Macaca fascicularis: one gene and its partners. The protein of the gene in region 3 purifies or fractionates together with the protein of the main gene of each other region. This does not show direct contact. Links are inferred from orthologs where the notes say so. Each region holds a gene or a part of one and is shown on either strand. Other genes may lie near its edges.

Evidence for each region.
Region 1: the proteins of SEH1L (region 3) and NUP85 purify together in Homo sapiens (affinity purification with western blotting; 4 studies listed by BioGRID and IntAct, with this or other methods). This does not show direct contact. The link is inferred for Macaca fascicularis from reciprocal best matches to the Homo sapiens genes SEH1L and NUP85.
Region 2: the proteins of SEH1L (region 3) and NUP107 purify together in Homo sapiens (affinity purification with mass spectrometry; 5 studies listed by BioGRID and IntAct, with this or other methods). This does not show direct contact. The link is inferred for Macaca fascicularis from reciprocal best matches to the Homo sapiens genes SEH1L and NUP107.

What each region holds. Positions count from the first base shown.
Region 1 is NC_088390.1:81,599,345-81,604,260, reverse strand, and holds part of NUP85 (nuclear pore complex protein Nup85), read right to left. Parts: intron 3,597-4,916; coding exon 3,526-3,596; intron 2,451-3,525; coding exon 2,407-2,450; intron 1-2,406. UniProt on the Homo sapiens protein: Essential component of the nuclear pore complex (NPC) that seems to be required for NPC assembly and maintenance. As part of the NPC Nup107-160 subcomplex plays a role in RNA export and in tethering NUP96/Nup98 and NUP153 to the nucleus.
Region 2 is NC_088385.1:75,451,450-75,456,365, reverse strand, and holds part of NUP107 (nuclear pore complex protein Nup107), read right to left. Parts: intron 4,491-4,916; coding exon 4,404-4,490; intron 3,499-4,403; coding exon of another isoform or gene 3,471-3,498; coding exon 3,355-3,470; intron 1,815-3,354; coding exon 1,670-1,814; intron 1-1,669. UniProt on the Homo sapiens protein: Plays a role in the nuclear pore complex (NPC) assembly and/or maintenance. Required for the assembly of peripheral proteins into the NPC. May anchor NUP62 to the NPC. Involved in nephrogenesis.
Region 3 is NC_088392.1:81,036,166-81,041,081, reverse strand, and holds part of SEH1L (nucleoporin SEH1), read right to left. Parts: intron 4,906-4,916; coding exon 4,748-4,905; intron 3,392-4,747; coding exon 3,241-3,391; intron 2,203-3,240; coding exon of another isoform or gene 2,190-2,202; exon of another isoform or gene 579-2,189; coding exon 383-578; 3' UTR 1-382. UniProt on the Homo sapiens protein: Component of the Nup107-160 subcomplex of the nuclear pore complex (NPC). The Nup107-160 subcomplex is required for the assembly of a functional NPC.

The sequences.
Region 1 (4,916 bases), on a different chromosome or scaffold from region 3:
TGGCTCATGCCTGTAATCCAAGCACTTTGGGAGGTCAAGGCAGGTGGAATGTTTGAGTCTAGGAGTTCGAGACCAGCTTGAGCAACATTGCGAGATTCTGTCTCAACAAAAAATACAAAAATTGGCCAAGTGTGGTGATACATCCCTGTAGTCTCAGCTACTCAGGAGGCTGAGGTGGGAGGATCACTTAAGCCCAGGAAGTTGAGTCTGCAGTGAGCCATAATCGTGCCGCTGCGTTCCTGCCTGGGCAAGAGTGAGACCCTGTCTCAAAATTTAAAAAAAGAAAAAAATATGGCCAAGCGCGGTGGCTCACACCTGTAATCCCAGCACTTTGGGAGGCCGAGACGGGTGGATCACAAGGTCAGGAGATCGAGATCATCCTAACACAGTGAAACTCTGTCTCTACTAAAAATACAAAAAATTAGCTGGGAGTGGTTGTGGGCACGTATAGTCCCAGCTACCCGGGAGGCTGAGGCAGGAAAATGGCGTGAACCCAGGAGGCGGAGCTTGCAGTGAGCTGAGATCGTGCCACTGCACTCCAGCCTGGGCAACAGAGGGAGACTCCATCTCAAAAAAAAAAAAAAGAAAAGAAAAGAAAAAAAGAAAAAAATATAACTTGCATGTCACCAATTATTACTTTTTTATTTTTTTTGAGATGGAGTTTGGCTCTTCTTGCCCAAGCTACAGTCCAGTGGCGTAATCTCGGCTCACTGCAACTTCCGCATCCTGGGTTCAAGTGATTCTCCTGCCTCAGCCTCCCCAGTAGCTGGGATTACAGGCGTGTGCCACCACGCCCAACTAATTTTTTGTATTTTTAGTCAAGACGGGGTTTCACCACATTGGCCAGGCTGGTCTTGAACTCCTGACCTCAGGTGATCTCCCCCAACTTGGCCTCCCAAAGTGCTGGGATCACAGGCATGAGCCACCGCACCTGGCTATTTTTTTTTTTTTTTTTTTTTTGGAGACAGAGTCTCACTCTGTCAGCCAAGCTGGAGTGCACTGGTATGATTTCGGCTCACTGCAACCTCTGCCTCCAGGGTTCAAGCAATTCTCCTGCCTCAGCCTCCCGAGTAGCTGGGATTACAGGTGCACACCACCATGCCTGGCTAAATATTGTATTTTTAGTAGACGGGGTTTCCATGTTGGCCAGTATGGTCTCGAACTCCTGACCCCAAGAGATCCGCCCACCTCAGCCTCCCAAAGTGCTGGGATTACAGGCGTGAGCCACTGCTCCCAGCCTACCTCGATGAATTGATGCTTTAGCAAGGGACTTCATTTGAGTAAAAGGAAGAGACGATATTTACAAAAATATTCAGTAGATGACACGAAACACGTAGACAGAGCAAGAATTGTGAAGTTGGTATTCCAAGGACTGAAGTTTAGGAAACAGTCTATTAATGGGAAAGCCCAATATAAGACCCCGAAATAAATCAGACCTGGACCTTGCCCTTAGGAATATGCAGGCTTCCTCTCCTCACCATCCTTCGGTCCACAGACACCACGATGACTTGTTTATAAGGGTACTTCAGAGACACTGAATTACCGCCTAGTCACTTACTGACTTTGAAAAGTATTTAATATGAAGCATCTACTAAGGAAAAAGTCATCTTCCAGCTCCAAGTAAAGTAGAGCCACTTGCAACTCAGTAAAAATGTTGAGTTTGGTTAGGTGTGGCAGCTCACACCTATAATCCCAGCACTTTGGGAGGCCAAGGCAGGAGGATCACTTGAGCCCAGGAGTTCAAGACCAGCTTTGACAACATAGAGAGACCCTGTCTTTCAAAGAAAAAAAAAAATATTGAGTTCGAGAAGTGAGTAGTGTTTATGAGACTGAACAGTGATCTCACAAGATTAGTTCTCCATTTCGGGTGACAACCCCTCAACACAATTTGGTCAGGACATACATGTTCCATAAGAACTGAACATTCAGGGCCAGCACGGTGGCTCACGCCTGTAATGCCACCACTTTGGGAGGTCGAGGCGGGTGGATCACTTGAGTTCAAGAGTTTGAGACCAGCCTGGCCAACATGGTGAAACCCCATCTCTACTAAAAATACAAAAAGTAGCTGGGCTCGGTGGTACGCACCTGTAGGACCCAGCTATTCTGGAGGCTGAGGCAGGAGAACTGCTTGAACCTAGGGCACTCGAGCCTGAGTGACAGAGCGAGATTCCGTCTCAAAAAAAAAAAAAAAAAGAAGAAGAAGAACCAAACATTCACTCAAGTATTTAACAAGCATTTCCTTGTGAGCTAGACCTTGAAAGGGGCAAGACAATCACTGTCACCCAAAGGAGCTGCCTATCTACCTGAAGAGACTTCTGCCGTAACAGGAACTGCAAAGCCACCCCAGGTGGGTGCCCAGGACACAGGACACAGTGGTGCTAAAACAACAAAGGTGACTCCCCTTACCTGGCTGCTGAACTGGCGGCCGCTGGCTGGATCTTTAGCAGCAACTAACGAAACACAAAACATTTTAAGTGAGCAATGGAACTCTTAGGCTTATTTTCATAGCTGAATATTCCAGGGTCTATGGCCTGAGCCTTTGTTTCCTTTAATGACAAAAATTAAAAGAAATTATAATCTCTTCTAATTATGGATATTTTTGTTATTAATGCTTCATATCCCTTCAATTCTCAAACCAAAGGCCCTGAAGTTACCAAATGGCACTTTCAACTGCAACAAAGTTACCATAAAGGTCTCTGACCTTTGTCAGAGTGGCTTCATGTGTGGCTCACACCTGTAAGCCCAACACTTGGGAGGCTGATGTGAAAGGACTGCTCGAGCCCAGGAGTTCAAGACCAGCCTTGGCAAAATTAGGGAGACCCTGTCTCTACAAAAAATTTAAAAATTATCAGAACAAATGTCTCTGAGGAAGATGGGACAAAAATTTTTTTTAATAGCCAGTACACACCTGCAATCCCAACTACTTGGAAGGCTGAGGTAGGAAGATCACTTGAGCCCAGGAGGTGAGGTCACGGCTGCAATGAGCCACAATGTGTCTTTGCACTCCAGCCTGGGCAACCTTGTCTCAGGAAAAAAAAAAAAAAAAGTCCAGGCACAGTGGCTGACTCCTGTAATCCCAGCACTCTGGGAGTCCAAGGCAGGCAGATCACTTGAGACCAGGAGTTCAAGACCAGCCTGACCAACATAGTGAAACCCCACCTCTACTAAAAATACAGAAATTAGCTTGGCTTGGTGGTATGCAACTGTAGTCCCAGCCACTCAGGAGGCTGGCTGAGGCTGGAGAATCGCTTGAACCTGGGAGGTGGAGGTTGCAGTGACCTGAGTTCATGCCACAGCACTTCAACCTGGGCGACAGAGTGACACTCGGTCTCAAAAAAAAAAAAAAAAAAAAAAAAAAATACTCTAAATGATTACCAAAAAAGTAAAGATTGTGAAAGATGGAAAAGTAAGTTTTGGACTGGAATATCAATCAAACTTTACCTCACAGTATTTATGCATAGATAAATACTCAAAATACCAACACACACACACACAAACACACACACACACACACACAGTCCTTACTTGCAACCTGGTGCATTTCCTCCATACATGCTCTTATGACTGATCGGTAGTTTTTACTCACTCGAACCAATCTATAAAAAATGAAATAACACACAAGATGAGCCTGGAACATCTTGTAGTGCTAGAAAAGAAGAAAACACTCAAATAAATGTAGAAATTTGCTGAAAGAAAGAGGGGAGCCATTGTGAAGGAGCTCGTAACCTTCTGAAGCTGGAACAACTTGGGCAACAAAATAAAACGCCACAAAACAACCCATGGGCTAAAGTTAATATCCATAAACCCATACTGACATTAATTGTTGCAGATGAAATCTACTAGTCAGACCTTGTCTCAAAAAAATAGATACGGCCGGGCGCGGTGGCTCAAGCCTGTAATCCCAGCACTTTGGGAGGCCGAGACGGGCGGATCACGAGGTCAGGAGATCGAGACCATCCTGGCTAACATGGTGAAACCCCGTCTCTATTAAGAAATACAAAAAACTAGCCGGGCGAGGTGGCAGGCGCCTGTAGTCCCAGCTACTCGGGAGGCTGAGGCCGGAGAATGGCGTGAACCCGGGAGGCGGAGGCTGCAGTGAGCTGAGATCCGGCCACTGCACTCCAGCCTGGGTGACAGAGCGAGACTCCGTCTCAAAAAAAAAAAAAAAAAAAAAAATCCCAGCTACTCGGGAGGCTGAGGTAGGAGAATCTCTTGAACTCGGGAGGCGGAGATTGCAGTGAGCCAAGATCATGTCATTGCACTCCAACCTGGGCGACAGAGCGAGACTCCATCTCAAAAAAAAATAAAAAATAAAAAATAAGACAGGGTCCCCTGCCATCAAGGAATTACAGGACTTTTGACATGTTTTTTCCTAGAAGTGACAATAGATTTCTCAAACTCACCAATATTACCCACCAGAGTCCCTTAAAACCAATAATCAGGCCAGGTGCAGTGGCTCACGCCTATAATCCCAGCACTTTGGGAGGCCGAAGTGGGCAGATCACTTGAGGTCAGGAGTTCAAGACCGGCCTGGCCAACATGATGAAACCCTCTCTACTAAAAATGCAAAAATTAGCCAGGCGTGGTGGCACGCACCTGTAATCCCAGCTATTCGGGAGGCTGAGGCAGGAGAATGGCTTGAACCCAGGAGGCAGAGGCTGCAGTGGGCCGAGATTGCCACTGCACTCCAGCCTAGGTAACAGAGTCAAAAAAAACAGGGCACGGCCAGGCGCGGTGGCTCACGCCTATAATCCCAACACTTTGGGAGGCCAAGATGGGCAGATCACGAGGTCAGGAGATCGAGACCATCCTGGCTAACATGGTAAAACCCCGTCTCTACTAAAAATACAAAAAAATTAGCCAGGAGTAGTGACGGGCACCTGTAGTCCCAGCTGCTCGGGAGGCTGAGGCAGGAG
Region 2 (4,916 bases), on a different chromosome or scaffold from region 3:
AGCTTAATGAAAAATATAGACAGCAGACCACGTGAAGACACAGGAGGAAGACAGTCATCTGTAAGCCAAAGAAGAGGCTTCAGAGAAAACCAATCCTGCCAAGACCTTTACCTCAGACATCTAGCCTCCAGAATTGTGAGAAATAAATTTCTGTTGTTGCCTATAATCCCAGCACTTTGAGAGGCTGAGGTGGTAGGATCACTTGTGTCCAGGAGTTTGAGAGCTGCCTGGGCAACATAGTGAGACCCTGTCTCTACAAAGAAATAAAAAATTAGGTTGGGCACAGTGGCTTATGCCTGTAATCCCAGCACTTTGGGAGGCTGAGGAGGGCGGATCACTCGAGGTCAGAGTTCGAGATCAGCCTGGCCAACATGGTGAAACCTCTCTCTACTAAAAATACAAAAATTAGCCAGGTGTGGTGGTGGGCACCTGTAATCTCAGCTACTCGGGAGACTGAGGCAGGAGACTGAGGTGGATCACCCATGGTCAGGGGTTTGAGACCAGTCTGGCCAACATGGCGAAACTCCATTTCTACTAAAAATACAAAAAATAGCCGGATGTGGTAGCATGTGCCTATAATCCCAGCTACTCAGGAGACTGAGGCAGGAGAATCACTTAAATCACTTAAACCTGGGAGGCGGAGGTTGCAGTGAACCAAGATCCCATTACTGCACTCCAGCCTGGGTGACACAGTGAGACTCTGTCTCAAAAAAAAAAAAAAAAAAAATTAGCTGGGCATGGTGGTAGATGCCTGCAGTCCCAACTACTTAGGAGGCTGAGGCTGCAGAATTGCTTAAGCCTGGGAAGTTAAGGCTGCAGGGAGCCATACTTATGCCACTGCAGGTAGCCTGGGTGACACAGTGAGTTTTTTTTTTTTTTTTTAGATGGAGTCTCGTTCTGTAGCCCAGCTTGGAGTGCAATGGTACAATCTCAGTTCACTGCGACCTCCGCCTCCCGGTTCAAGTGATTCTCCTGCCTCAGCCTCTCCAGTAGCTGGGATTACAGGCGTGCGCCACGATACCCAACTAATTTTTGTATTTTTAGTGGAGACGGGGTTTCACCATGTTGGCCAGGCTGGTCTTGAACTCCTGACCTCGTGATCCGCCCACCTCAGCCTCCCAAAGTGATAGGATTACAGGCATGAGCCACCACACCCGGCAACAGAGTGAGATTCTTGTCTCAAAAAACACACACAAAAATTTGTTGTTTAAGCTACTGTCTCAAGAAAAAAAGACAGAAAGAAAAGAAAGAGAAAAACAGACGGGCACGGTGGCTCACGCCTGTAATCCCAGCACTTTGGGAGGCCGAGACGGGCGGATCACGAGGTCAGGAGATCGAGACCATCCTGGCTAACACTGTGAAACTCCGTCTCTACTAAAAATACAAAAAAAAATTAGCTGGGTGTGGTGGCGGACGCCTGTAGTCCCAGCTACTCAGGAGGCTGGGGAGGCTGAGGCAGGAGAATGGCGTGAACCTGGGAGGCGGAGCTTGCAGCGAGGCGAGATCGCGCCACCGCACTCCAGCCTGGGCGACTGAGCAAGACTCCGTCTCAAAAAAAAAGAAAAAAAAAAAAGAAAGAGAAAAACATAATGATGTTCAGAAACAGGAAGAGACGATTTCCTTGATCTTAGTGAAAAGCTACTTGTTACAAAGCTCAATGCCATTTTACCAGCTTCTCCAGGATCATCCTCACGTAACATAACAGCACTGATAGTTACATCTTCTGTTACACTGTGAGGCTCTGTGTTTGTGAAGAGTCCAGAACGCTGTGATGAAAATGCAGCTGCCCAGTTACTGTCATCCAGATTGGTAACCTTAAAAAAAAAACAAAAAAGTAAAAATAGAGAAAAGTGATGGAGTTATTGTCACTGAGTGGATACTTTAAAAGCAAGTAAGATTTCTAAAAATTGTATGTATGTATGTGGGTTTTTTTTTTTCTTGAGATAAGGTCTGGATCTGTTGCCCAGGCTGGAGTGCAGTGGCACGATCACAGCTCAATGCAACCTTTGCCTCTCAGGCTTAAGCCATCCTCCCACTTCAGCCTCCCAAGTAGCTGGGACTACAGGCACGTGCTACCATGCCTGGCTAATTTTTGTATTTTTAGTAGGGACAGGGTTTCACCATGCTGGCCAGGCTGGTCTCAAACTCCCAGCCTCATGTGATCCATCTGCCTCAGCCTCCCAAAATGCTGGGATTACAGATGTGAGCTACCATGCCTGGCTACTATAGTGTATTTATTTATTTATTTATTTTTTGAGACAGAGTCTTGCTCTGTCTATCGCCCAGGCTTGAGTGCAGTGGTGCGATCTCCGCTCACTGCAAGCTCCACCGCCTCCTGGGTTCACTCCATTCTCCTGCCTCAGCCTCCCGAGAAGCTGGGACTACAGTCGCCTGCCACCACGCCCGGCTAATTTTTTTGTATTTTTAGTAGAGACGGGGTTTCACTGTGTTCGCCAGGATGGTCTGGATCTCCTGACGTCGTGATCCACCCGCCTTGGCCTCCCAAAGTGCTGGGATTACAGGCATGAGCCACCACGCCCAGCCTATAGTGTATTTTTAATACTTAGGTGAAGTCATTCTGAATCACAGCTTACATAACATTTATTTTGCTATTTTCAATACTGTTCCATAGTGATTCCTAAAGAGTATCTCATCTACCTTTTCCAATTTTCTCTTGTATCCTCTTTAATACATTTTATCTCTTCCTTATGATACTCTGCATCTATTACCCTCTGATTCCTACTCTTGTATGCTTCAAAACAGGGATCAGATTTTATAGCCATCAGCAACCAACCACAGCATGTATTTCTTCTGGTCAGCAAACTGACAGATTAAAACATCTTATCTGCATTTAAAGGTTGCTGGTGTCACAGTTTCCATCTGTGATATCAGATGCATAAGGTTTTCAGTTTTTTTAATGTCTAATTAATTATTTCAATCCATATAATCTAAAGTTACTTTTGTGATGATTCTGACTCAATATTCATTAAAAGGCTTTTACATCAAATGTTATACTTTTATAAAAAGGGAGAACTTCTTTTCTCTCTCTCTTTTTTTTTTTTCTTTTGCAATCACAGGTCACTGCAACCTCTGCCTCCTGGATTCAAGCAATTCTCACACCTCAGCCTCCCGAGTAGCTGGGATTACAGGCGTAAGCCACCACTCCTAGCTAATTTTTTTGTTTTTAGTAGAGACAGGGTTTCATCATGCTAGCCAGGCTGGTCTCAAACTCCTGACCTCTGGGAAGCCAAGGCGGGAGAATCACTTGAGGTCAGGAGTTCAGGGGGTGCTGAGATTACAGGTGTGAGCCACCACACTCGACCCAAAAGTTCTTAGTCCTATTTTTCTACATACCATGGAGAGATTTCCGAAGAACCCTGAAGACTGTGTAAGTCGGGGCGACCTCCCTCCTGTTCCAAGAATGCAGGAAATATCTGGCTGCCTTAGTAAGCTTCGGCTTGTTGGGGTAACTATAAACAAAAGGTTGGTAGAAAGAACCTAAAGTGCGTGAGCATTCATTATCAAAGCAAAGCAAACAAACAATGAAGAATAAATTTTTACTGTACTCTAACCAAATAAATACTTTAAATGCTAACATTTCCATGATACAAGGATTTAAATTATTTTTCTAAATTTGAGCTGTAAGTACTACTGAGCCTAACAGGAAAAATTTTACTGCAATTGCAGATGCTTTCATTATAGCCTAACTGAGCAGTTAAAGCCACTAATCAGTCAATGGATTCTTCATATTTTAATTTTATAAGGCATACCAAGGCAGTGTAGTACAGTGGGCATAAACTTTGGAGTAAACAGATCATTGTTTGAATCCCAGTTCCACTATTTACATACTAGTCTTGTTCTGTCACCCCAGCTGGAGTACAGTGGCACAATCTCAGCTCAGTGCAACCTCTGCCTCCTGGGTTCAAGCAATTCTCCTGCCTCAGCCTCCTGAGTAGCTAGGATTATGGGCATGCGCCACCACGCCAGCTAATTTTTGTATTTTTAGTAGAGACAGGGTTTCACATGTTGGCCAAGCTAGTCTTGAACTCCTGGCCTTAAGTGATCCGCCTACCTTGGCCTCCCAAAGTGTTGAGATTATAGGCATGGGCCACTGCATCCAGCCTATTTACATACTTACTGCCTATATTAGTTAACTTCTCTAAGTCTCGCGTTCAGTTTCGGTAAAATAGAGCTAACGATACCTATGTCATAGTTACTGTGTGTTTATGGAAAGTACAGTACCTTGTACATGGCAAGAGTTCAAACAAATAATAACTGCAATCATTATTATTAGTGTTTATTGATATTGTAACCAAATACTATACTTATCATGTTACAATAAATGTTAGTTGCTATTATAATTATCATTATTATTAAATGCTTTAAAAGCAAAAAAGTCTTACAAGGCTGTCGAAATGAGCTAGGAGTTCGAGGGATAACCTGGTTTCTTGGTGTAGTATTACCGAAACTTTCATCTTGAGATGCCTGAACTGTACAATGAGTTAAGAAAAGTTTTCCATGTAGAAAAGATTAAAATGAGAATTAACCATCTTTTTACTATACAAATTATGTGAATACATTTTTCAAGAACAAGGTATTTTACGGCTACCATTTTTCAATGCAAAGGGTAAATAACCCATTCCTTCTGCCATTTAAATTCTCAGACGTCAGTCTTAGATAGCTACACACTGAACTAAATGTTTTTAGTCAGTTTTCAAATAATAAAAATCTCAGCAGAAGCTAACCACAATATGATAGTCAGCAGTAAGAAATATCTTTATTTTTAAGGAAATATAATCTTATTAAATTTTTGCATTATATTTACCTAATGACAGCTCTGTGGAGTGAAAAAAATTTCTACAGGATTTTATTATAGCTAACATTTAATACTCTTATAAAAAGAAAATTCTATAACA
Region 3 (4,916 bases):
GACAGAATCAGCTTCGTAAGAATATGCTTTCACATTAGCCAGTCTGATAAAGCATAAACAACTTAAGACTATGGTAACAGTTCAAAATAAAATTTACAAAACAGGCACTTTGAAGTCAGCTACTGTGTGTAACTTCACAGTTAACGTTACTTGGACATATCTCATTTCATCAAAGGTTATCACCCAGTGAAGCCAACGTTCCTTTGATGGAGACGCACAAACAGATTTAGGTTCGAAACACCGTATTCCAGTTGTAATACATGCAAGACAGACCCTAAGTTAGAAAAATCTTCTGAAAGAAAGTGAAGAAAAACAAAAAGCAGCCAGAAATGAAAGCATTTACAAGCACTTGAATAAGGCCTTTCAATGTTAAATCAGTGTTTTAAACCCCTTCATTCTCAGGTAAGGGATTAAGAGGCCGAGAGAGATATCGTCTGCGAGGGTGAGGATACTGGAGGTTGGCAGTGTCAGCATCGCAAGAGTGCTCTACCAGAGGAGGAGGAGGAGGAGGAAGGAGCTGGGCATAACTGGACCATCTCGATCCAGCCCGTGGGGAATCCAGAGGGGGAAAGAAATACCTGAAACAATGAAGACAGGAACAAAACACCAAACAAAACAAAAACAGGGAAAAAAAAAAAAAAAAAAAACACAAGAAAAAGAGAAAAGTAGTAAATACAGAGAGAACCAAAGAGGAGAAAACACATGCTAGAAAAAAAAAAAAAAAAAAGCTTTAGTATATTCATGCCAAAACTAACAGAACATAATAGCACAAATCAAGACCCTTACTCAAATCAAGATTGCTTAAGCAAGTATAGAAACTTGAAAGGAATACAATCTGTTAAACTTAAAATGTCAAAAAAAATCAATATAAATGTTACAAAGAAAAACATTAATTTTATAAATTCAAAACACTTTCTAATCTCTCAGAAACATCTGATGCTATTCTGTACATTTACAAATCTAATAAGCTTTTTCTCTTAAGCAATGGTTCACTCACAACAGCAGCAAGCACACATTTTTTAGTGCATACATGATACTGAGAACACACACAGTATGGCTGGCTACTGCAACATGCGTTTGAAGAACTACAAACACTGAACACTTATTTTTCTGCAAAAGCCTTAGGATAGCTACCAAATTTCGAGAAGTGAAAGGACTCACAGAATGACCGTGCCCTACTGTTACTCTTCTTCCATTTTGTAACTTACCCGTAACACTTACACATTTTAGCAAGCTTAAATATTTATAGCTTTGTTATCAAGGTCAGAGCTTTACAGGATATGAACTAATTTAAACAGCCAACTAAATTAAGAAAATCTTGAGATATGGAATGCTGACATTAATTTACATGCACAATTTTAGTAAAATTTTAATGGCTTCTCTTAATAGTGTGTGTCCAAATTTTGATTTGAAGGAAACTAAGCCATGGAATAAATAACACCATAAAAATATACAAATGTATATAAGAAACATTTATCTCTTTAGTGACTATGAATTAAAAACTTATAAAAAAGTGTTTCCATCTTACTTCCAAATTGTAAATGAAACAATACCAAATGCTTAACCTGGCTACAACTGTACAGTCAAGTTCCTTCATTTTACTATTACTACTTTACTAATTCACTCCTTTACTAATATTCTTTAAATACTACAAGGAAATGACAGAGTTGTACTGAATGTCATGTATAAAGCAATTCTACAAAAAGTAAATCACTCAAAACAATCTTTATAAAAAATATTTATTCAATCTTCAAATTAAAATTATAAAAGTTCATTTTAAGCTGTTTTAAGAAAGCAAAAGAAATATGTCTATATTTTCCAAATGAAGTAAAGTGATATTTCCCCTCCTCCCAACTACTTAGATAAGAATGGTAACAACCCTTTTAATCTTTAAACCCAAATTAGTTTCAGGAATATTTCAAAAAATTGTTTTGGTGACAATGTCTCAACAGAAAGCCTCTCCATTTATATTTCAAAAGTTTCAAATAGTGTCAAAAAACTGACTAGTACAAAAAAATATACACTGTATTTTTAAAGGCCTTTAGGATTGCGTTTAGTAGTAAGCAGGCTGCTGGTGTATCTTGGGAGAGGTCAAACGGCGCTGGGGAAGGGGACAAGGAGCTCGCTTTCCATTCCTGTGTGCATGCAACAAGCAGCAAAACAGCAAAGTTACTCCAGTTAGCTTGTACTCAGCTGTGCTTTCTGTTAAAGGACATAATACAAATGGAAAAGGGAAATGCATCACAGATCTAACACAGATGGTTATCGGCACAATAAGAATACAGATCAAAAAACAGAAGCTATTTACAAAAGAAAATACGCAGTACAGGCAGTGACCAAGAACCAGCCTTAAAAAATCAACTCTACTTATTTGTTTCATGAAATAATCTTTATAATCTGGTATCTTCCACGGTAACCTGAAATCGTTCTGATGCACATACTTAAAACCTCGAAATCAAAAGCAGGACTTCTTTATAAAAACATAACGATATAAAAATAGCTGAAATTTTAAATACAATTTTCTTATTTTATTTAGGATAACAACAGGACAGTCCATTAGGCTGTGTTTTGACGTTTCCTGAATTCTATCCCAAATTATTCACAAAGACATATTAAAATAATTTTATCTTACAAATTCACATATTTAAAATTTGAACATGAAAACAAAAGGATGACTCTTTAGATGACATCAAATATTCCTTATTATGATACACAAGAATGTAACATACGCTAACTATTCTAAAAATCAATCTCAGTTTTTATTATTTCCTCTTATTTCCATTAAACTTTAAACACAAAAGCCAAATAATTTAATGTACTCTCTTCTAAAAAGCCTTAATAAATGTATTTTATTTAAAATTGCAGTTTGACCTAATGCAAAGACCACACTACAAGCAGTGAAAAACACTAATGTTCATTTGGACTAAAACCCTCACTATTAAACCAGATAACCTTCCTCTCACTGTTGCAGAAGTGAAGTTGAATCTTAAACCTGTAACATTTCTACCGATAGACCACTAAAGCTTCAGAATATAATGTAATGACCTCATAACCTACCTGCAAATGTTATGACCAAGTAAGCCAAATACAGAGGTAACGAAATGAACTCTTAAATGCTAATATAATCACATGTGAACATTTCCACTCCATCTTATAATCCAGGAAATAATCCACCTTAAGTAGAGCTACCAGAATGATTTAAAACAAAGAGAATTTCCAGTTTTCCCATGAACAGCCTACCTGCCAGCAGAAGATCCATTTAATGAATTCTGAAGACTTGGAATATTTGAACCTAGGGAAGGATTTGAGTTTCCCTGCTGAGAACTCCCATTGACTGGGCTCCCATTACCTTTCAAAATACCAGTACACTTCCAATTGTCCATATAATTAGCTGAAAGGAAAATAATCAAATACATTAACGTGATTAATACCAATGCCTAAGGGCACAAATCCGTACCCATGTCCTTAAACTACAATTAAAGAAATGAGGGAGAGGCTAGGGGCTACATTTCTTTCAGGATAAACATTAAAGACACTTTTTAAATGGAAGACATATTGTCTTAGTTTTAACAAATTTTTAGAAGTTTTCAAAGTATCAATAACTTTAAAAGTATAAAGCTTTCACCACCCATGTTACAGATAATAGCAGAGACAATTTTCTGAGCTACCGTATTATCACATTATGAAATTAATATTAAAATCTCCATTATAATATTAAAGTCTTCATTATAATGAATTTCACTTACATATGTAAGGTAATGAAATTGTCTTCTTAATTATGCAAGTATAAGTTGTATGGGTACCTAATGTCTTCTGAAATGGATGTAGGTAAAAAACCTTTGGAGATTGAGTGGCTTATCCAAAATGGCCTTATTAGTTTGAATGCAAAATTGGTCTCTGAAGACAATGAGCCCAAGAAAATCAAGTTAGGCAGCCTGCTGGGGAGCATGGCAAGGTGGTCCTGACTAAAGCCCAGAGGCAGAAAAGGACAGCAAAGCCCTTGAAATCAAATTACACTGAAGAAAGGAAGGTCTGAGCTGGTTTTGCCAAAGCCCAAAATCGAACATGGGAGGCCCTCAAGCTTACCCAAACTGCACTTTGGGAAACAGTAACTGCTAAAGAGTAAATAAACCAAGACAGCTATAATTTTGAATGCTAAGTATGGGACACCATTCATTATGGTGGTGCACAAATCACAGAAATCTCTGCCCAACAGATAATCATCCAAAAAGCAGTGCAGAACCACGCTACAGAGACCACAGTCAGTGTCAACTGTCCAGACCTTCTCACTCAGCCTGGCACTTATAAAAAGCTTACAATCAGGGCCCCAAGGCTCTTAACGTTTGCACAAAGCAGGGAAGATACTGGATTTTCTCCTATTAAGGACTGATTGTCTAAAGTAATCTATTTGATAAAATAAGAGCGACCATAGTCCTAGCCTGAGTCTGTAGAGCAGTCAAGTAAGGTACATATATGACAACTGGTATCTTTTTACTGGAGATACTGCATATTCTGTTGTAATTACTTTAGTTTTAAAAGTTGCTCTGTTCCATATAACTTGAAAAACAATTCAGTGATTAACTGCTATGAACTAGGTAAACTGATGTTTGAAATAACATAAATTAATATGACATTAAAAGTAACCGTAAAAGACCATTTTTAAAAAATATTTCAGAGTTTACATTTTTAAGTAAAAACTCCAGAGCAGAAATATAAACCAACAATTACCCCTCCACTGAAATCTTACCTTTCCACAATCTTACACAGCCATCATCTCCTGAAGATGCTAGCACTGTTCCTGTTATATTCCAGCTCACTCGCCAGACCTGAGAATTATGATTATCAAACTGAGCCACTATATGGATTTCAAACTTTGTTGGCCCACCAGAGGAAGTCAGTTCTTTCCTGTTAATAAA